Linked DNA regions of Arabidopsis thaliana. The protein of the gene in region 1 interacts with the protein of each later gene in a biochemical or structural test. Each region holds a gene or a part of one and is shown in the gene's direction. Other genes may lie near its edges. The genes, in order: CEV1 and GH9A1.

The links.
Region 2: the proteins of CEV1 (region 1) and GH9A1 form a complex in vitro, tested with the Arabidopsis thaliana proteins (one study listed by BioGRID).

What each region holds. Positions count from the first base shown.
Region 1 is NC_003076.8:1,527,873-1,540,668, reverse strand, and holds CEV1 (Cellulose synthase family protein), read left to right. Parts: upstream 1-5,110; 5' UTR 5,111-5,421; intron 5,422-5,531; 5' UTR 5,532-5,578; coding exon 5,579-5,602; intron 5,603-5,774; coding exon 5,775-5,970; intron 5,971-6,088; coding exon 6,089-6,294; intron 6,295-6,387; coding exon 6,388-6,490; intron 6,491-6,602; coding exon 6,603-6,780; intron 6,781-6,888; coding exon 6,889-7,155; intron 7,156-7,255; coding exon 7,256-7,601; intron 7,602-7,681; coding exon 7,682-7,819; intron 7,820-7,907; coding exon 7,908-8,033; intron 8,034-8,114; coding exon 8,115-8,327; intron 8,328-8,453; coding exon 8,454-8,715; intron 8,716-8,878; coding exon 8,879-9,081; intron 9,082-9,177; coding exon 9,178-9,528; intron 9,529-9,683; coding exon 9,684-10,268; 3' UTR 10,269-10,537; downstream 10,538-12,796. Other genes in the region: AT5G05180 (myosin heavy chain, striated protein), read right to left, coding at 2,351-3,576, 3,673-3,745; RUL1 (Leucine-rich repeat protein kinase family protein), read right to left, coding at 10,652-11,274, 11,370-12,669. UniProt on the Arabidopsis thaliana protein: Catalytic subunit of cellulose synthase terminal complexes ('rosettes'), required for beta-1,4-glucan microfibril crystallization, a major mechanism of the cell wall formation. Involved in the primary cell wall formation, especially in roots.
Region 2 is NC_003076.8:20,193,852-20,204,252, reverse strand, and holds GH9A1 (glycosyl hydrolase 9A1), read left to right. Parts: upstream 1-3,784; 5' UTR 3,785-4,084; coding exon 4,085-4,457; intron 4,458-4,535; coding exon 4,536-4,846; intron 4,847-4,919; coding exon 4,920-5,384; intron 5,385-5,500; coding exon 5,501-5,636; intron 5,637-5,737; coding exon 5,738-5,910; intron 5,911-6,080; coding exon 6,081-6,488; 3' UTR 6,489-6,862; downstream 6,863-10,401. Other genes in the region: FRO6 (ferric reduction oxidase 6), read left to right, coding at 1-2, 92-188, 277-474, 561-795, 968-1,295, 1,381-1,660, 1,741-1,996, 2,079-2,526 and 1 more; AT5G49710 (RING finger protein), read right to left, coding at 7,065-7,146, 7,246-7,354, 7,821-7,848, 7,936-8,096, 8,172-8,262, 8,456-8,692. UniProt on the Arabidopsis thaliana protein: Required for cellulose microfibril formation. Involved in cell wall assembly during cell elongation and cell plate maturation in cytokinesis. Required for secondary cell wall formation in the developing xylem.

The sequences.
Region 1 (12,796 bases):
AATGATCATATGTTTTTCGTATATATATTTATATCACTGGTCGAATTTAACGAACTTTTCATTTTTCTAATGAGAATTCACTAGCCGTGTGAGTGTTTTCAATCACTTTTATTTATAACCAGACAAGTTGAGTCTTTGGTTCATAACCTTTTTAGGTATGAAACCAGTTTTCAAATATAGCACCTACAAAGAATTTGAAATTGATAGCAACGTAACAAAATATTAATCTTCAAATTGGTTCATAAAGTTTTAGGGAACTTGTGAGAAATAAATGAATAAAAGTTTTGTAGGGCTATCTCAAGTCAAATAGTATATATTAAGTATTAACGTACATGTATATCACATTATTTTTTAACGATATGAAAAAAAACTAAGGTAATGGTCGACAGACTCGGTCTTTTATCGTTTTGTGCTGTCTAGTTTCTCTACTTTCTAGATTATCGTTTTGGCTTTGTGATTCTGTAAAAGTCAACCTTTGTTGTGGTGTCCTATTTCTTTGTAGACTTAATTAGAGGTTGCTTCAATATTTGTTTTCTCTGCACAATCCAATGACTAACGGGATACGATTCACAAAACGAATCAAATCAAATCAAGTTCAATACCATTCGAGTCTTCTTCTTCACAGATTACAAATTCGATTATGCGTTGACTCTTTAATTGAGTCAATGGTTTGGACCACTACATGGTTTGTAAATGTTTATTTCTATTTCAAATCGCTAGCTGTTACCTAACATTCAGGACATGAACAAAAACTATCTTACTAAAAAAAAGTCAAAATTAAAGTTTCAAATGTATAAAAGATAATATTGGAGGTCAACTCCCATTTGACAACATTCATATATAGTTATAAATTGATTTTGTTTTTCTATTTACTGTGTTCCCATGATGTTTCGTGAACACATGAAGTTATGGTATTGAATAGAATGGATTTTCTTTTAGTTTTTGGTTTATTCTACAGAACAAGCTCTTGAAATAACTAAAAAATTCACTAACTAAAAACTTGTGATATATACCATGCTGGTTATATTCGCACAACGATTGCAATCATAATTGGCTACTATAGACGATTTAATTGATAAGAATATTCAATTATTCTACCTATGCTTTGGAGAGTCTATTTCTTTTTACTTGAAAATTTCCGATTATAAATAAAGATAGACACCTCAAAGCAAAAAACTATTCTTTTACACCTGAAATTCTTTAATACATGTCTTTAATTAATAATAGATTCCATATGAAAGAATTAAAGAAAGAAAAAGGGCCCATAGTAACGTTTTCTTTAGCTATCTTTTAAGATTGATAATTGATAAATTTGTTGTATCTAACTAATAAAGTTCGTAGCCAGCGGTCTTGCAAAGTCCTTTCACACACTCACACATGCAATCACATTTACAACTTTAATACTACCATGAAAGCATAAACTAAAACAATCAAATTAAAATATTTGCATGCGCGTGCATCTTTACGCGGTCGATCATATATCGTTACATATGGAGGAAAGTTTACGTAATAGACCTATAATATCAAACTATAACTTGAGATTTTTTTTTATTTACTTTATGTGGATTAGATGAAACTAAGTCTTGTTGAACATGACCAATCCTGAGATAGTCAGATCTTATTATAAATTGTTAAAACCCAAAAAAAAACAAAAATTGTTTGACCAATACTTAAAAGTTTCAACACAAATAGAAATGGAACTGGGAGCATATACATAGACGCAGTATAGAAATCAGACTCGTTCAACTTTGATTTTGGGAATATTACTTCTCTGGTTCAGATTTAGTTTTAAATTTTAGATTTCATATTTCTTCACTGGTTTGGGCGAGAAGAATTTGTTTTTGTGTTCACTAAATTTTTCTGAACAAAAATCATAAATCAAGGACCATAATAATTGAGTCCTTAGTATTTCACATTAACTCCAATCCTTGTATTGAGAGAGTCAACCAAGTTGAGATATTGGAGGATTAGGTTTGTGTTTGGCTTTTGACTTTTTCTCTCTCACTTTTAATTACTTAGGCTTTACGTCACTATTACATAAGCACAAATAAAAACTCCAGACAGAAACACCTGTAGATACCCTAAGTTCAAAAATACTTTTATAAAATCACACAAAATTAAAGCCACATATATAAAAGCATTTCCAAGCTAGAATTTCATATAGGTGCACAAAAAAAAAAAGAAGCTAGAATTTCATATAAATTGCGCTTCTTACTAAAGAAATCTTAAGATTAATGTCCAAGAGTTTGAGAGAGAACATAACTCAGAATAACATAAAAAAACATGACGAGACAAAGAAAGACATAAGACTGTAACGACTAAAGAAATGATAAGAGTATTCAATCGAAACTCACACGACCATGGTTGTTTGATGTTGCTGGTTATTGCCCGAAAGATACCACAAAAGCTGTTTATATCCGCTTTTGTAATGATCCAGAGAGAAACAAAGCTGTCTAATCGCCTCTCGTTTCTCTTCCTCTCCTTGTGATATCGCATTCCTCTGCAACTCTGCATGCTTCTCCATTTCCCAGACCGTAGCTCTCAGTTCCTCCACAGTTTTCTTGGCCTTACTCTGCAGCTCTACTTCAATCTCCAGTTCTTTAACCACAGCTTTCAGTTCCTCAACAGTGTTCTTGGCATTTCCTGATTCAGACACAAGCTCTGTCTGCTTATAGACCAGCTGGTTAAGTTGCTCCTCCATTTGCTGAATTTGGATGTCTCTTGATCTCATCTCTGCTTTTAGATTGTCTACTTCAGCACATACTCCGTCTTTCTCTGCCATTAACATGTCGTACCTCAGCTTGTGCTTGTCGAAATCTTTGTTTAATGCTTCAATATGCTCACCACGTGTGGCCAAGTCTGTCTTCAATGCACTGATTTCAGCTTGCAACTCAACCTCTTTCCTCTGCATCTCCATTTTCTCTGCCTCAGAATGCTTTATCTGATCTACCAGTTTTGTTTTCTCAATAGAGAAATTTTGCTGACAATCACACAACATTTCCCTTAGCTTAGAGATTTCAGAAAATGACACATCTAAACAGTCCCTACTCACCTCATGCTCATTCACTAGATGCTCAAATTTGAAACTTAAGTCTGAAAGCTCAGTTTCCAAATCAACCACCTGTCTTTGCACCTCGAGAACTCGCTTTCTCTCAGTCTCAATAGCTATGTCCCTAATCGCAATTTCTCCTTGTGCGATTTCTCGCTCACCACGTAGATACTCGCCAAACAGAACAACCGATTCTTTTTTCTCGGTCTCCTTTAGTTTCTCAATCTCTTGCTCAAATTCTTGAAGTTTCAAACTCGTAGTCCTAAGCTCTTCTTCACACTGGACATATTTCTTCATCAATTCTTCATAACTCATTTGTTTCTCCGGGGATAAGTCATGGCTATCCATTGACCCTGGTGATACGAGGTGATGGTTAAAAGATGAGTAAAAGGCCTCCGTGTCCGAATCTAAATCGGAATAAGAAGAGTTAGAATCATGATTGCCAGAAACATCAGAACTTCCTTGGTCAAAGTTGGAAGCTACTGTATCAGACTTTGGAGTTACAGGAGGTGAAGATCCATTGTGATCTGAAACTTGACAATTGATATGTCTAATAAGATTTCTACGTTTGAACGGAAACGCACACAACCAAAATAAGACATGAATGAATTATACGGTTATACCTGTTGAGATGTCCACAAAGGAATTCGAATTATGTGGCCACTCATCTGGGACCTCAACTGTTGTAAAATCCATTACACTTAAACAACAAAAAGCGAATCAACTTAAAAATGATCAAGCAAAAAAAAATCAAAGAAACGTAAACATAGAATGATGTAACAGAAAAACCCTAAAAATACAGAAGATATACGAGATATAAAAACTGGTAAGATTTTTATTTACTTTTTTTTTTTTTATACTCCTAAGATTTAGCTATAACTAAACGTATTTATATTTTTTGACCAAAAAAAAAAAAAACGTATTTATATTTATCTCTACAATAATTTCGATTAAAAATATCTAACAAAAAAAAAAGTTGTGATAATAATCAGTGGAAAACTATCATGAAGAGACAAGCTAATGTTCTTTAATTGAAATCTTAGAAAATAAAAAAACTAGGGTTGCGTAAATTTTAAGACTTTCTTATGTCACAGAACTGAACTTTTTTCACTACATGTAAACAGAAATTATAACTCATTTGCAACGGTGAAGAAACATAGACAAAGACCCTCCATAAATCTCAGAAAAACAGAGCAAGTAACTCAGATCATAAGATCTACAAAACACATCAACGGAACAAACAAATATCAAACCCTGAAATCTGATTCACATAGGACCAAATAAACATGAGATTTCACTGACCTTGAAAATTGATATGATCGAGGGAACAAAAGAGCAGATTTACAGGAAAAGTGAAGGAGAAACAAAGGAAGGTTTAAGTAGAGGATTGCTAGGGTACGAGAGTTACGAAGCAGAAGGTGGAAAGGTTTAAAGGGACGACAAAGAGGAGGGAAGATTTGTCGGATAGCGAAGAGAAAGTGGCGCTCTTTGGGATTCAAATGTTTGCCATTTTCTTCTTTTGTCTATCTGACAGTCTGTTCTTTGCTGCACTAGTGGCCACACATCTCCACATGCACCACCAGTTATCAAAGTTTGACCTATTAATTATTGGGTTCGGTTCGATTCAATTTTCTCTCGTAAATAACGTAAACCGAACATATACCAATTTTGTCTGCAAAGTCCAACAAACCCATTTTCTCGATTCTGTTGGGCTTGATGATACTAGAGTTGGACCTTTATTTTTTCAGCCCGCTGGTTTTAGCCTATTTTGATATACTAGTAAGTAAAGCATCACTATCAATATATTTTGATTTATTCATTGGACTAATCCGTTGATTAATTAATATTTTGAAGTTTTATTTTTGTCGGCAAATACTTTTTAAGTTTTATCTGTAAGAAAGTTAGTGACGATGAATATCCTTTACCCCACTACTTGTGATTTGTTGTGTTCTTCACACTTCTATTTTAGTTATATCACTATCAAATATCAATTACTATTTTGATTTAGTCACTAATTCGATGATAATATATTTCTAAGGATATTTTAAAGGTTTATCGGCCGTTTTTTCACTTTTTTTACAGCCACTGTAAAACTGTAACTAGAAAAAAATCGACTGTGGAAGTTGTCGGTGGTGGTGGTGGTTGTTGCTTGGTTGGATTATGATTTGTGACAAATATATTAATATTTTAAAAATCTGGAAGAGTGACGAGTAGAGGAGACAAATAGCTTGCTCTTTGCATCTTCTTAGCCATCCCAAGATTCTCCTCTTCGTCTTCCTTATAAACTATCTCTCTGTAGAGAAGAAAGCTTGGATCCAGATTGAGAGAGATTCAGAGAGTCACATCACCACACTCCATCTTCAGATCTCATGGTAAAGCTTTTAACTCTTCTTACACTCATGATCCATTCTCAGATTTGACTTCCTTTACTCGGATCTCCTCAGATCTAATCGTAGTTTCTGTTTTTGATAATTCCGATCAGATTTGAACTATTCCGACGTTTCGGTGTTGGAAGCAACTAAGTGACAAATGGAATCCGAAGGAGAAACCGCGGTATGCTTTTTTGACTCTTGCTTCATCATTATACTTACCTTTATCGAAATCAGGAATTATATGTACTGAAATTGATTGATTTGGGTGTTGAATTGTGTATTGGAGAGATCTGATTTCAAATTTTCTGTTGAGGTTTCTAATTTTGGCTTCATTGATTCGACTTGATTTGTAGGGAAAGCCGATGAAGAACATTGTTCCGCAGACTTGCCAGATCTGTAGTGACAATGTTGGCAAGACTGTTGATGGAGATCGTTTTGTGGCTTGTGATATTTGTTCATTCCCAGTTTGTCGGCCTTGCTACGAGTATGAGAGGAAAGATGGGAATCAATCTTGTCCTCAGTGCAAAACCAGATACAAGAGGCTCAAAGGTTCTCTTTTGATCCTTCTGAAGTATACTGTCTTCATTGTTCATCGATAGTTTATCAGTATGTTTTGAATTTTGGATCAGATTGGTATTTATAGCAATTTGCTAATTTCTGATTCTAGGTAGTCCTGCTATTCCTGGTGATAAAGACGAGGATGGCTTAGCTGATGAAGGTACTGTTGAGTTCAACTACCCTCAGAAGGAGAAAATTTCAGAGCGGATGCTTGGTTGGCATCTTACTCGTGGGAAGGGAGAGGAAATGGGGGAACCCCAGTATGATAAAGAGGTCTCTCACAATCATCTTCCTCGTCTCACGAGCAGACAAGATGTAAGGCATTGCTGTTCATTCTTCCCTCTTAAGCATTCGCATCCTCACGCAATTTAGTTTTGGAATCTGATTTTGTCATTTGCTTATTTACAGACTTCAGGAGAGTTTTCTGCTGCCTCACCTGAACGCCTCTCTGTATCTTCTACTATCGCTGGGGGAAAGCGCCTTCCCTATTCATCAGATGTCAATCAATCACGTAAATATCCTTTATTTCTAACTCTCTCGCCAACACATATATTTGTACCTAGGCTTCTCTTTTATGTCAAAACTCTAAACAATAAAATCTGTTGTTGTCATTCACGCTGCAGCAAATAGAAGGATTGTGGATCCTGTTGGACTCGGGAATGTAGCTTGGAAGGAGAGAGTTGATGGCTGGAAAATGAAGCAAGAGAAGAATACTGGTCCTGTCAGCACGCAGGCTGCTTCTGAAAGAGGTGGAGTAGATATTGATGCCAGCACAGATATCCTAGCAGATGAGGCTCTGCTGTGAGTTCTTGTTTTGTAATCTTGTTTGTTCTGTCGTGGTGTACCGAGCGTTTTTCCTATTAAGCAATGTCCTGATACTCATTTTCCAATTCTTTATTTATTGTACAGGAATGACGAAGCGAGGCAGCCTCTGTCAAGGAAAGTTTCAATTCCTTCATCACGGATCAATCCTTACAGAATGGTTATTATGCTGCGGCTTGTTATCCTTTGTCTCTTCTTGCATTACCGTATAACAAACCCAGTGCCAAATGCCTTTGCTCTATGGCTGGTCTCTGTGATATGTGAGATCTGGTTTGCCTTATCCTGGATTTTGGATCAGTTTCCCAAGTGGTTTCCTGTGAACCGTGAAACCTACCTCGACAGGCTTGCTTTAAGGTAAGTTCTATTTCCCCATTCTTCTGAAGCAATTACTCAAAGGATTGTTTGCCTATACTGTTTCCCATTTTAATTTGATCATGGTCAATTTTTGGGACAGATATGATCGTGAAGGTGAGCCATCACAGTTAGCTGCTGTTGACATTTTCGTGAGTACTGTTGACCCCTTGAAGGAGCCACCCCTTGTGACAGCCAACACAGTGCTCTCTATTCTGGCTGTTGACTACCCAGTTGACAAGGTGTCCTGTTATGTTTCTGATGATGGTGCTGCTATGTTATCATTTGAATCACTTGCAGAAACATCAGAGTTTGCTCGTAAATGGGTACCATTTTGCAAGAAATATAGCATAGAGCCTCGTGCACCAGAATGGTACTTTGCTGCGAAAATAGATTACTTGAAGGATAAAGTTCAGACATCATTTGTCAAAGATCGTAGAGCTATGAAGGTAAGTTTGTAGTTTTAGTCATCTAGTCACCCTCACTTTGATTTTAGTGTATGCTATATTGACCTTTTATTTTCTTTCAGAGGGAATATGAGGAATTTAAAATCCGAATCAATGCACTTGTTTCCAAAGCCCTAAAATGTCCTGAAGAAGGGTGGGTTATGCAAGATGGCACACCGTGGCCTGGAAATAATACAAGGGACCATCCAGGAATGATCCAGGTAAGAAATTGGTTTTAACTATGGAATCGAGAATGCTCTCTCTTTCTCTCTAGAAGTTCATTATTGAAGTACCATTTGCTGAATGCAGGTCTTCTTAGGGCAAAATGGTGGACTTGATGCAGAGGGCAATGAGCTCCCGCGTTTGGTATATGTTTCTCGAGAAAAGCGACCAGGATTCCAGCACCACAAAAAGGCTGGTGCTATGAATGCACTGGTAAGTTTCTGATCTTGGATTTTTGACTTCTTCATTCTGACCAATTTGTTAGTCTAATCTGGGTACTTTTCAAATGAATAGGTGAGAGTTTCAGCAGTTCTTACCAATGGACCTTTCATCTTGAATCTTGATTGTGATCATTACATAAATAACAGCAAAGCCTTAAGAGAAGCAATGTGCTTCCTGATGGACCCAAACCTCGGGAAGCAAGTTTGTTATGTTCAGTTCCCACAAAGATTTGATGGTATCGATAAGAACGATAGATATGCTAATCGTAATACCGTGTTCTTTGATGTAAGTCACACTTACCTATACTTGCGTCTAATTTTCTTGTTCTTTCAAATTGCTTTTAGACACGAATATACATTAAACTCACAGTTTCTTGAGTTTGTCGTAATTTTTCCATGATATGTTTTCCAGATTAACTTGAGAGGTTTAGATGGGATTCAAGGACCTGTATATGTCGGAACTGGATGTGTTTTCAACAGAACAGCATTATACGGTTATGAACCTCCAATAAAAGTAAAACACAAGAAGCCAAGTCTTTTATCTAAGCTCTGTGGTGGATCAAGAAAGAAGAATTCCAAAGCTAAGAAAGAGTCGGACAAAAAGAAATCAGGCAGGCATACTGACTCAACTGTTCCTGTATTCAACCTCGATGACATAGAAGAGGGAGTTGAAGGTACAACTGTTTTTATTTCTTCTTTGGTTTCCGTTATACCCATATGTTGCTGTTTGAAATATTGATCCAGGGGAGGGGATTATTTATAGTTGACAGTTGTCTAAATAGTTTCCATACTAGGTATCTCATCATGTCTTAACTATTTGGCATTTGTGAAACTTAGGTGCTGGTTTTGATGATGAAAAGGCGCTCTTAATGTCGCAAATGAGCCTGGAGAAGCGATTTGGACAGTCTGCTGTTTTTGTTGCTTCTACCCTAATGGAAAATGGTGGTGTTCCTCCTTCAGCAACTCCAGAAAACCTTCTCAAAGAGGCTATCCATGTCATTAGTTGTGGTTATGAGGATAAGTCAGATTGGGGAATGGAGGTATAATCTCATTTGAACTCCTACATGAATCTGCATTGTTCTGACATATCCACTTTGGCATTCACTTTGTTTATATTTTCCGCTGTCTTTCTTCAGATTGGATGGATCTATGGTTCTGTGACAGAAGATATTCTGACTGGGTTCAAAATGCATGCCCGTGGATGGCGATCCATTTACTGCATGCCTAAGCTTCCAGCTTTCAAGGGTTCTGCTCCTATCAATCTTTCAGATCGTCTGAACCAAGTGCTGAGGTGGGCTTTAGGTTCAGTTGAGATTCTCTTCAGTCGGCATTGTCCTATATGGTATGGTTACAATGGGAGGCTAAAATTTCTTGAGAGGTTTGCGTATGTGAACACCACCATCTACCCTATCACCTCCATTCCTCTTCTCATGTATTGTACATTGCCAGCCGTTTGTCTCTTCACCAACCAGTTTATTATTCCTCAGGTTTGACACCTCTCTCTGTCTATCTATCTCTATCTCTATCTCTATCTCTAGAACAAACCTTAATTACGTTCTGTTTAACTGAAACCATGTTGTGTTTGTCATCTATTTACGGTTCCAAATCCTGATCAGCTGGTTCTATTGTTCCTCTTTTGCAGATTAGTAACATTGCAAGTATATGGTTTCTGTCTCTCTTTCTCTCCATTTTCGCCACGGGTATACTAGAAATGAGGTGGAGTGGCGTAGGCATAGACGAATGGTGGAGAAACGAGCAGTTTTGGGTCATTGGTGGAGTATCCGCTCATTTATTCGCTGTGTTTCAAGGTATCCTCAAAGTCCTTGCCGGTATTGACACAAACTTCACAGTTACCTCAAAAGCTTCAGATGAAGACGGAGACTTTGCTGAGCTCTACTTGTTCAAATGGACAACACTTCTGATTCCGCCAACGACGCTGCTCATTGTAAACTTAGTGGGAGTTGTTGCAGGAGTCTCTTATGCTATCAACAGTGGATACCAATCATGGGGACCACTCTTTGGTAAGTTGTTCTTTGCCTTCTGGGTGATTGTTCACTTGTACCCTTTCCTCAAGGGTTTGATGGGTCGACAGAACCGGACTCCTACCATTGTTGTGGTCTGGTCTGTTCTCTTGGCTTCTATCTTCTCGTTGTTGTGGGTTAGGATTGATCCCTTCACTAGCCGAGTCACTGGCCCGGACATTCTGGAATGTGGAATCAACTGTTGAGAAGCGAGCAAATATTTACCTGTTTTGAGGGTTAAAAAAAACACAGAATTTAAATTATTTTTCATTGTTTTATTTGTTCACTTTTTTACTTTTGTTGTGTGTATCTGTCTGTTCGTTCTTCTGTCTTGGTGTCATAAATTTATGTGTAGAATATATCTTACTCTAGTTACTTTGGAAAGTTATAATTAAAGTGAAAGCGAATATTTTTTTGTTTCTGTAGTTAAAGCAGTGGTTATGATTTTTCAATTTTCATTAGTGAAAGCAGTTACGTTTGATCATAAGCACTAAACTACGATGCAAAGAGAAATTATTTTTAACTGGGATTCAAAAGTAATAAGATAGAAGTAGAATTGATCAAAGAAACTTTTGGTCGGAATGAGGAATCATTCAGAGACATTGGAAGTAGCCTCTGAGGATGTTCTGTTTTGCTGTAACTGCTGAGACTGATCCAATCTCCTCACATCTTCAATCATCCTCGCGACCTCTTCCATCTTTGGCCTCGATTCTGGATTCCTTGCAACACAGGCCAACGCTAGCTGAAGCATCTGAACCATCTCCTCTTCAATGTTCTGAAACTTCAAGAGCTCCACATCGAAAACCTCTGCAGTCCACTCTTCTCTCACAACAGACCGAACCCATCTCGGAAGATCAATGACGACACGCTCATCCTCGAGACCAGGCTGAGTTAAAGGTGTCTTCCCGGTTAGCATTTCGAGAATCACCACACCAAAGCTATAAACGTCTGATCTTTGACTGACTCTCCTCGTCTCAATAACTTCAGGAGCATTGTAGCCAATGGTTCGCGGTGTGTGAGTTGGAAGGTTGAAGAGAGTGACTAAAGATGTGTCGGACAGACATGGCTCAAGGTCTTCAGTGAGAAGTATGTTTGATGATTTGATGTCTCCGTGAACGAATTTTAAGGAGTGAAGGTAAGAGATTGCTTTTGAAGTCCCTGTCGCGATCTTCATCCGCGTTTCCCAGTCGACTCCTCTGTCTCCTCTGTTTCCTGTCCAAAAAATCCAAAAAGGAACAATTTTTCGTGACCCACACACAAGCTTTACATTACCAAAAAAGTTAGGGTTTGGTCTCTTTATGACTCACCGTGCATGATCCCGAACAAGCTTCCTTTCGTCATGTACTTGTAGACCAATAGCTTCTCGTCTTTCGAATAGTAATAAGCGAGGAGTGGTACGAAATTAGAATGCTGGTTAATCTTCCCAACTATCTCCATTTGCTGTTCAAACTCTTTCTTGCTCGCCACGACTTCTCTTAAACGTTTCACCACCACTGCGGTTGTGTCCTCAAGCACGGCCTTGTAGGCCGTTCCGAAACTCCCTTTACCAAGAACTTCAGCAGAAGCTTTCAAGAGATCCTCAAGATCGAAATTATGATTGCATCTTTCGAAGAAGAAGAGCTTGTTCTTCTCTGGATCTTGAACTCCGCTCCCGAAATCCTGCGGTTTCTTGCTATTCACTCCCCCCATCTGCGTTCGCACTCCTTCACCGCCTCCTTCTTCTTTCTTCGTCTTCTTCACCAGACAAACCAAGAAAACAATCCCAAGGAAAAGAACGGCCACAGAGCATCCGACTACAATGGCGATTATATAAGCTTTACTCTGTCTCCTCCGGACAGGATGGAGATTCTCTGTCAACGGTCTAGGCAAATTTGAAGACGGAGAGATGGCTCCTCCGGAACATGCATTCAGAGGTGGACCACATAGTAATGAGTTTCCGATGAAAGAATATTCCGGTGACTTCTTGAGATGCTCAGGGATGGGTCCACTTAAGTTGTTATAGCTCAAATTTACAACTTTTACACTCGGGAGATCAAGAGAATCAATGGGACCATCAAAAGAGTTGTTTTGAAGGTACAATACAGTGATCTGAGACAAGTTCCGGAGACCGGAAGGAATGTTACCAGATAAAGAGTTATAAGACAAGTCCAAGACAACAAGCTGCTTGGAGATCGACGGCAAAGAATTAGTGGTGAGTTCGCCGGAGAAGTTGTTGTGTTGGAGATAAAGGTATTCAAGAGAAGGGAGTGAGAGAATATCAGAAGGTAAAGTTCCAAAGAGAGAGTTGGATCTGAGGCTAAGGACTTTGAGAGCGTCTAGTTTGCCTAATGTGGCAGGAGGGATTGAGCCGTAGAGGCCAACTCCTGGAAGACGGACAGCTACAACGCGGCTGGTGGGGTTGGATTCATCACAAGTAATGCCGATCCATGAAGAGCAGAGAGAGAGGTTCTTGTTCCAGTTGAGTTTTGGTGGATGTGGGACTGATGCTGCAAAGTTGAGAAGGGCTTGTTCGTCTGATGCTAAATCGGCTGAAACCAAAACCGCGGTTGCGGCGAGTAAGAGGAAGAAGAAGGAAGCAGCAACGAAGGCAGTGTGAGAAGAATTCATGGTTGAGCTATTTGGTGACTCACACCATGATCTGAGAAAGAGAGAAAATTGAGTTTCCTATGAAAGTTTTGTTCTTAGTGTTTGTTTTCATGTGGGTAAAGAGAGTCAAAAAGAAGAGGTGAGCTCA
Region 2 (10,401 bases), about 19 Mb from region 1:
AGGTTACATTAACGAGCAGATGCTTTGCTTTCTACGGAAACATGTCCAAAAAGTGTAACTAATTTCATCCTTTAATTGTCTAAATTTGCAGGAACCATGTTCTTGATTTTCAGTTGTCCGATTCTTGTCATCTCTGTCTTAGCTTCTCTCTATCTCATTATCTCCGGGGAAGACAAGGTCTTCACTAAGTACGTGTAATAATATCCCCAATTGCATTCTTTTGGTTGTATCAATTTTTGTTCTTGCATAAATGTGTGTGTCATGATGATTGTGAAGGAAGAAGATATCGAAATTCCCGAGGTTTAGGCTATGGACATTCCCTGTTCTTGTGGATGGACCATTTGGAGTTGTTTCTGCAGCTGAGTTTCTTGGAATTATGGTCTTCTCTGTTTTTTTCCTTTGGTCTATCTATGCTTATACCTTGAGGAATCTTGACCTTCTTGAACGCTTCCACGTCCTTCCCAAGAATCGAAGGTTCTTAAAACTCTTCCTTTTTTTTTCCCATCTTTGTCTTTTTCCTTCTCATTCCAATCATTAGTTTTGTGTGTGTGTATTTTCAGTATTCTTCTGTTGGAGGTAACGGGTCTGCGTTTAGGAATGATTGGATTGTTGTGTATGGTTTTTTTGTTTCTTCCAATCTCGAGAGGTTCCATTCTTCTCCGTCTTATCGATATCCCTTTTGAACATGCTACAAGATATCATGTTTGGCTTGGTCATATCACCATGGCTTTCTTCTCCTTACATGGCCTCTGTTATGTTGTTGGATGGATCATTCAAGGTCAACTTTTAGAGCTTGTAAGATCCTACAACATCATTGAATCTTGACATAATAGTATAGCCTAGTTTATCTACTATAGTATAGTGTCGATCATCGGTTCAAGATAGGTCTATACTCTATAAGTCACAATTTTATCTTCTTATTTTCTATTGTAAAGTTTCATCATCATCAACTACTTACTCCTCTCAGATATTTTCATGGAATGCTATCGGAATTGCTATCTTACCCGGAGTTATCAGTCTAGTGGCGGGTTTACTGATGTGGGTCACATCGCTTCACACCGTGAGAAAGAATTACTTTGAGCTCTTCTTCTACACACATCAACTATACATCGTCTTTATTGTGTTCTTGGCACTTCATGTTGGTGATTACATGTTTAGTATAGTTGCTGGAGGAATATTTCTTTTCATTCTAGACCGCTTCTTGAGGTTCTGCCAATCAAGAAGGACTGTTGATGTAATCTCTGCAAAGAGTTTACCTTGTGGAACTCTTGAACTAGTCCTTTCAAAACCACCAAGTAACAACTCTGTTTATTCTCTGTTTTCTACCTCTAATCTAAAACATTTACTGACTTTTTTCTTCTTCAATACCGCAAAAATCAGATATGCGATACAATGCGCTTAGCTTTATCTTTCTTCAAGTGAGGGAACTATCTTGGCTACAATGGCATCCATTTAGTGTTTCTTCAAGCCCTCTAGATGGGAACCATCATGTTGCGGTTCTCATAAAGGTTCTTGGTGGATGGACTGCAAAGCTTAGAGACCAGTTGTCAAATCTATACGAGGCAGAGAACCAAGATCAGCTCATTTCTCCTCAGTCATATCCTAAAATCACAACTTGTGTGGAGGGACCTTATGGCCATGAATCTCCATACCATTTAGCGTAATGCATTTCGTCTACTTGAAATTTTTTCAATGCCATAAGCTTTAGCTTAACTCAAGAAAGATTTATTGCGGGTGCAGGTATGAGAACCTGGTCTTAGTAGCAGGAGGAATCGGGATTACGCCTTTTTTCGCCATCTTAAGCGATATCCTACACCGTAAAAGAGATGGGAAAGCTTGTTTACCTAGTAAGGTTTTAGTTGTATGGGCCATTAAAAACTCAGACGAGCTCTCTCTGCTCTCAGCAATTGACATACCTTCCATTTGCCCTTTCTTCTCTAAGAAACTAAACCTTGAGATTCACATATATATCACTCGACAATCCGAGCCTCGCTTGGTACGTCTTAAATAAGTCTTTTGGGAGCTGCAATAGGCCTTACTAAGCTTGTTGAACTCTTTAATGTTTCATGGTTATACAGGAAGATGGGATGGTTCACAAGGTGGTGCATCCTTCTGTCAAGCTACCACGGACCAACGGATGTTCTATGTCGGTACTAGTTGGTACAGGGGATAACATATGGTCTGGACTCTATCTAATTATATCCACCATTGGATTTATTTCAATGATCACATTGTTGGACATCTTTTACATAAAAAGATACAACATAACAACGTGGTGGTACAAGGGACTTCTATTTGTTGGTTGTATGGTTGCAAGTGTCTTGATTTTTGGAGGTCTTGTGGTTGTTTTCTGGCATCGCTGGGAACACAAAACCGGTGAAGTGGAAGCAAATGGCAACGACAAGGTAGATTTGAATGGAGAAGAAACCCATAATCCATCTGCAGCAGAGCTTAAGGGCTTGGCAATAGAAGAAGATGTCCAGAATTACACCACTATTCGTTATGGCACCAGACCGGCCTTTAGAGGTATACACTACAAAATTAGCGGTGTCAAGTCCAGTTATCTCGTTTTTTTATTTATAAAATTATAGAAACTGAAATCATTCGGAACGGTTTGACACGGTTTCGTTCGGTTCTTGAATCCGACTTTTGGTGTAGATATTTGGCTCGATTCGGTTAAGTTAAATCTTTGATTGGTTCATGTAATATTTTTATTTTGTAATTGCAGAGATATTTGAGTCATTGAATGGGAAATGGGGGAGTGTGGATGTTGGAGTGATAGTATGCGGTCCAGCGACTCTTCAGACGACCGTAGCCAAAGAAATACGGTCACATAGCATCTGGCGATCGGCGAATCATCCTCTTTTCCACTTCAACAGCCACAGTTTCGATCTCTAACGATGCTTTCAAGGCCAAAGAACATTATGGAAGGAAATTCGAAGACAAATTGATGCATATATTTTAGGTAATCTCTGTCAGTATGTACTATGGAAACAGCTATGGTTGATATGTGTATGTTTATCTTTCAGTTTTCGATGTATAAAGTAGAAATCAAATGTATGAGCATCTATGGTTTCTAGTTCTACACTTGTTGGTGTTTCTACATTGGACATTTAATATTAATTAAATGCAAGCTGATAAGTCCTATAATTACATAGCTGCCCATATATTTTCGGAATTTTTTAAAGTAGAGATATATTCATATATATATGAGGGATTAGATTCTATAATTACGAATGTATTTAATTTCAAATTAAAAGTTAGATTCTCATAATTCTCCTTACTTACTCTGTGAGGGATTAGAGTCGTAAAAATGACCACAAGATGTAATTTTTTTTTAGGTCATTGATCTACCATCAATTTGTCGGACACACTTATCTTATAAGTTTTAAATTTTAACAAATGTAAGTGAAATTTTGTGGTAGACTATCATTTTCAAGTAGAAGTAGAATTTAAGTAACCTTCCTTGTTATAATTTTTTTTTAAAAATTATGTCATTACTTAGAGCCCACCAGAAATGATGACGTGTAAAACACCATAATCATAAAGGATAAAATAAAATTATCATCCCACCGACAGTTTATTAGCGGAGATGTCTTTTTCCATCCACCCGACATTAGCCCATTGCTTTACTAGTAAACAAAGTATATGCAATTTTTTGTTAGAAAAAACGGTGCATAAAAAATAATATTTTAATGTCTCCGACAAATTTTAATTGTATGAAAAATAAATACACAAGATTACAAGTTGGCCAAAACGCTCAATCATAGTTGGCCAAAAATATACTATTCCAAAATTAGAGTTAGCTGTAACGTAACATGTACAAATAAACCAAACAAAACATATAATAACAAAATAATTGAAGTGAGTTTTAAAAAGGAAAAAAAAAAAAGAGTAAAAAACCAAAACCAGATCTCTCAAAGAGTCTTTGTACATTATTGACTAGAGAGAGCTTTTTAGCTTCACATTTCTTCACTTCCACACACTTTTACTTCTTTCTCTCTTCTCTTCTCTTCTCCAGATCTGATCCCAAACCTTTGATTCATTGTTGTTGTTCTCTGCTGCTTTATCAGAGAGCATCATCATGTACGGAAGAGATCCATGGGGAGGTCCATTGGAGATAAACACTGCAGATTCCGCCACCGACGATGATCGTAGTCGGAATTTAAACGATTTGGATCGTGCGGCTCTTTCACGTCCACTAGATGAGACGCAGCAGAGTTGGTTACTTGGTCCAACGGAGCAGAAGAAGAAGAAGTACGTCGATCTCGGTTGTATTATCGTTAGCCGCAAGATCTTCGTCTGGACTGTTGGTACTCTTGTTGCCGCCGCGTTACTCGCCGGATTCATTACCTTGATCGTTAAAACTGTGCCGCGTCATCATCCTAAGACTCCGCCGCCGGATAATTATACTATAGCTCTACACAAAGCTCTTAAGTTCTTCAATGCTCAGAAATGTAAGTGTAGAATCTACTTAGATCTGATAAAATTTAGATATAGAGTTTTAGATCTAAGTCTGATTTTGATTGTTGTAGCTGGGAAATTGCCAAAGCATAATAACGTGTCATGGAGAGGTAATTCTGGGCTTCAAGATGGGAAAGGTGAAACAGGAAGCTTCTATAAAGATTTGGTGGGAGGTTATTATGATGCTGGTGATGCTATCAAGTTCAATTTCCCCATGGCTTATGCTATGACTATGTTGAGCTGGAGTGTTATTGAATATAGTGCTAAATACGAAGCTGCTGGTGAGCTCACTCATGTTAAGGAGCTTATCAAATGGGGAACTGATTACTTTCTCAAGACTTTCAATAGTACTGCTGATTCCATTGATGATCTTGTGTCACAGGTACTTGTTTATGACCTTCGTAGGAGATCTTTCATATTGAGTTGTTTGTTCACTCGTTACATGTTTAATGTAGGTTGGATCAGGGAATACTGATGATGGAAATACAGATCCTAATGACCATTACTGTTGGATGCGACCTGAGGATATGGACTATAAAAGGCCCGTGACTACTTGTAATGGTGGATGTTCGGATCTCGCTGCAGAGATGGCAGCTGCTCTGGCTTCAGCATCTATTGTATTCAAGGATAACAAGGAATATTCTAAAAAGCTTGTCCATGGTGCTAAGGTGGTGTATCAGTTTGGAAGGACGAGGAGAGGGAGATATAGTGCAGGCACTGCGGAATCTAGCAAGTTCTATAATTCAAGTATGTATTGGGATGAGTTCATTTGGGGTGGTGCTTGGATGTATTATGCTACCGGAAATGTAACGTATCTCAATCTAATCACCCAACCTACTATGGCCAAGCATGCTGGTGCCTTCTGGGGTGGCCCTTACTATGGTGTATTTAGCTGGGACAACAAGCTTGCTGGTGCTCAGGTCAGTCCACACATAACAACCTGCTGTGTTTATGTTTCTTAGATATTCATGTCTTCTTGATCATTTGCCTTAACCATACTACTCTTGACTCTTTTGAATCCCTTTTGCGATTTTAGTTGCTGTTGAGCCGGTTGAGGTTGTTTCTGAGTCCTGGATATCCATATGAAGAAATTCTAAGGACCTTCCACAATCAGACCAGCATAGTCATGTGCTCATACTTGCCTATTTTCAACAAATTTAACAGAACCAATGGTTAGTTACCTTCCAGCTTTAATGTCTGCCTCTAATAAAACTCCAACTGTGGGGCTTGTTCTTGTTTCAGATATCTAAAATGAAATCTTTGGTATGTGCAGGAGGTTTAATAGAGTTGAATCATGGAGCTCCACAGCCGCTGCAATATTCTGTAAATGCAGCTTTCTTAGCGACTCTATACAGTGATTATCTGGATGCTGCTGATACTCCTGGATGGTACTGTGGACCTAATTTCTATTCGACAAGTGTGCTACGTGACTTTGCTAGATCCCAGGTATTGCTTCTTTTCCTTTACTCTTTACAGAAATGGTAATCTCAGATATAGTAATGGATAAGATCCAAAAATGACACTTTTAACCAAGATTGTACGAAGATCTTTTTAAACTCCATTTTTTATTTTGACATCTAAATTGGATTTAACTCGGCCTTGCTGTATTTTGGCAGATTGATTATATACTGGGTAAAAACCCTCGGAAAATGAGTTATGTCGTTGGTTTTGGCACAAAATACCCAAGACATGTGCATCACAGAGGAGCTTCGATACCCAAGAACAAAGTCAAGTATAACTGCAAAGGAGGATGGAAATGGAGAGACAGCAAGAAACCAAACCCAAACACGATTGAAGGAGCCATGGTTGCTGGTCCTGACAAGCGCGACGGGTACCGTGATGTCCGTATGAACTACAACTACACTGAACCGACTCTTGCAGGCAATGCTGGTCTAGTCGCAGCTCTTGTGGCATTATCGGGTGAAGAAGAAGCCACCGGTAAGATAGACAAAAACACTATTTTCTCAGCTGTTCCTCCTTTGTTCCCTACTCCACCACCTCCACCAGCACCATGGAAACCTTGAGAAAGCTAGACTTGTGTGATTCTGTCGCTGCTGCCAAAAAAAATGAATGAGGTAAGAAGGATTTGGGTGTGAGACCAGAAGATTAGAAGCTAAACACAAGTCAGCCATAACCAAACTACTAAGGATTTCATTTGGCTTTACTAGATACAAACACGGGGTGGGTTACTTTACCACAAGCATTGTCTTTCTTTTCTTTTTTTGGGTTGCTGTTTTGTTCTTGTGAGATATCATATATATCTATGCGTTTTACTCTGTATATGTTTGATACCAAACTTGTATTCTTTGATAAACAATTTAATGAACTGTATTAAACTTTTAACTATGTTTTATTGTGCAAGTGTGAGATCAACCTGGAATAACAACTGTAGTCTACTAAAATACGTGATTCTAGCATGCATTTACTCATTTAATGGATATAAACGATGATGCAGAAAGAATATTGCAGTAAAGAACGGAATTACATATGGCATTCTTTATACATGATGAAGTTGTATTCACAGAGATCATGGAGAAACCCAAATTAAACTGTTATCACAGTACACAGGCGAGATGTGTTCGAGAAGGCGTCATCGTCAATCAAACGAGCTTCGATATTACATGACATGACGCCCAAAAGGCCTTTGATGCAACCCTCAGGATCACGGGGTTTTGATAGATCCTGTCGGTGAAATGAACAAAATAAAAATGCTTGGTGAGAACGATAAACAATGGGACTATTAGATTTTGCAATGTAGAAGATGACTAGATGATATTATACCCTATAACAGTTGCGCTCCATGACGCTACGTTGTAAGCAACCTTACTTCCATCCCAGGCTTTCCGAAGTTTCCCCTTTCTATTCTTCACTGAGAACATCCTGCTAAGTGCTACATTACAATTCAAACACTAATGTTACAGTTTTACTACTAATCTGATATGCCACCACTGATCAACTTCACACATAATCAACATCAAAGAAAATAACTTGGCGACTTAATGGTCTTTGTTTGTGTCAGCGCAATAACAAGCTTCCTAGTTGAGTTTTAAGATTGGAACCGGTAAACTCTATTTCTTACTGAATTGTAGAACACATATCTAACCACAGAATAATCTATGGATGAATCCTTGAGCCTCCCCTACTTTCCTATGCCCTCTCAAACCCCAAAACCGATTCCCAAGAACAATCAATGCCCTTTACCAGTCTGTCCAATGCCGTATTTCCTCTAAAGATCTATCTGTTCTGAATTTGAGTGTTAGCAACAGTGACGTGGCTATTATGTTACAGCCAACTATTATGTCTACTTATCATTGAGATACACAGCATTTGAAGGTTGACAGAAGAGTCGAGAATACCTTTCTGAAGCTGCTCAGGAGTCAAGTCCTGCACAATGATGGCAACTTGTATAAACTCAAATGAAAGGCTGATATACAATGAACAAATTATAACGAAAGTTAAGACTTTAGATACCTTTGTCTGCTTAAGTGATTGTAAATAAGTAGCCATGAAACATGCAATGCCCTCTGCTATATCTTCTTCTCTAACAAGGACATAATCTTCTTCCCTTTGAGCCATGGTTTCATCATCCCAAAGATCATCTTCACTAACTACATCCCAAGAGCTACTATCTTCTAAAACACCAGAAATCACAATCATCTATACAACCAATGAGCAAACAGGCTTAAAAAAAACATTATAGTCCTCACCAGCAAGATGTTGCGGCGCTGAAACCTGGGCTGACTCAATCTTTTCAAGGAAGTCATCACATTCAACCCTGGATTTGATGAGATCATATAACTGAAACAAGGAAGAAGAAAGTCATGACATTATTGTATCATTACAAACATATGACGCATCATTATAAAATGTTGATGTATACACATTCACCAAAATTCAACGCACACTTATTTGATAAACAAAAAGTTCCGAACTTTAAAGCTTGAAGCAAATTTTCCTCACAATTCCTCTTCAGAGAGATGCATATACTTACTTCATCAGCTTCAGGATCTTCTCGATCGGAAGAAGAAACTTCTCCCCTGCTCTCTTGTGACCCACTTCCCTCGCCGGTGCTTTTATCATCTTCATCGTCTTCAGAACTGACTTCGGCTAAGTTTAATAACTCGAGGGCTCTCTGGCAATCATTGAGCAAAGCTTGCAAAGTTTTCCGCTTGACACGAATATTATCCTTATCGATTCGTTTTCCTTTGCGCTCGCTATTGTTATCCATGGTATTGGGTATTACCCAATCCTCAGAGAGGATACAATCGAAGCTCTTGCGGCATAGAATCCTTTGAAGAACAAGATCTGAGAAGACGACGACTGATCGATCGTTGTTGTCGCGCAAATTCTCTTCCTTTGTTTTGTTTTGTTTTGTTTTTCACGTTATAAAAAAAAAATGGAGTTTTGTTTTATTATGTGTGAGCTGTGACGTGAAACTAATTGGTTTTTAAAACAAGATTTTTGACATTTGGTTGTTCTTTCTTCTACGAATTGCTATGCTATTAAAAAAAGCTTCACAAAACTATTACTATAGTATAATCTTTTTGGACAGAGACCATAATTGAGAAAGCAGAAGAAATAATAACACTTGTTTTCTTGTCTTATCGAATAAATTGGGTCGGGCTTTGAGATTTTTATCTTTTTGTTTCGTGGGTTGGGTTTGTTGAGAGACATCTACATGGGTTTGGAACTTTGGAGGCTTGAGGTGAATTTTTGGATTTTTTTTTTGAAGGACCAACTATGATTATATTCATTAATATTCCCCAATCAATTTGATCATTATGGATTACACGTATTAAGTCATCCTTATTTAATTTTGATCATTTAGTTTACTTTAGATTTTCATTCTGAATTACCATTTGATTGAATTCTTCTTACCATTCGTTTCGGATTCATTTTGATATGAATAGGGGTTGAATTCTTATTTGTAACACTCATCCAACAATTTTCGATAACAAGAGCATTTATCCGAACGACTATCTTGCATCCTCGACTTATTTAGAAGAGTTATCATTGATATTTTATTCCACTCTTTTGCGCTTTTTTTACATTCCAGTAGTTTTAATCTCTAAGGTTTAATTATATATCTGATGATAGTACTAGACTTCGTTTTCATAAATTTACCTTCGTGGACTATGTTCCCCCCGGTTGGGATAATCGGAATTAATCATTTTTGGTGCTATTCTAATTGAAACATATTTAGTAGATACTTGATAGAGTCAAATTAAAATATATACTTATTATTATTTTATATGGCTGATGTCAAAAAAGGAAAGGAAAATGGACATCCAAAAAGAAAAGGTTGTCGAATTTAGTTCACGTTTCTTTCTCCTTTCCTGAAGTTTCAAACCCAAACCCCCATGTAAAAAAAGCGAGAGGGCACTGAAAAGACAAGTGGGTATTGAATGTGTTTATATATATAGATATGTGTGTTTTTGCAGACATTGCAGTTGTATAGTCTTGAAACTTCTGGATATATGAGAGAGACCAGGGACATGAATCCAAACATCAAGACACATTCAGACAAAGCCAAACAGTATCCCATCAATGCTTCACGACCACGTATATGCATAGTTATTGTCTTTTTTTGACCACGTATCTGGATAGTTATTGTCTTTTTTTGAACTTATAAACACAAAAACAAATTCGCGCTCTCTCACGGAGTAGTCATACTTGCATCTTATTAACATGTTTATCCTTTTGGTTAAGTCTATGACATTTTTTTAATAAATACATACGAGTAATTGGAAAGAAAAGCAATTGTGCAAACCTGTGATATGACGAACGATTCGTACATTTTTTACTTTTTGTATTTAACTGTTATGGGAACAAAAAGTATATGGTCAATGCCGCCAAAATTGTAAGGTTGATGGTGTAGTAGAGGATAAAGTAGCCCGCTTTCTTGAGAAGCAGTCAAATATGTGGTGTGGAAGACAA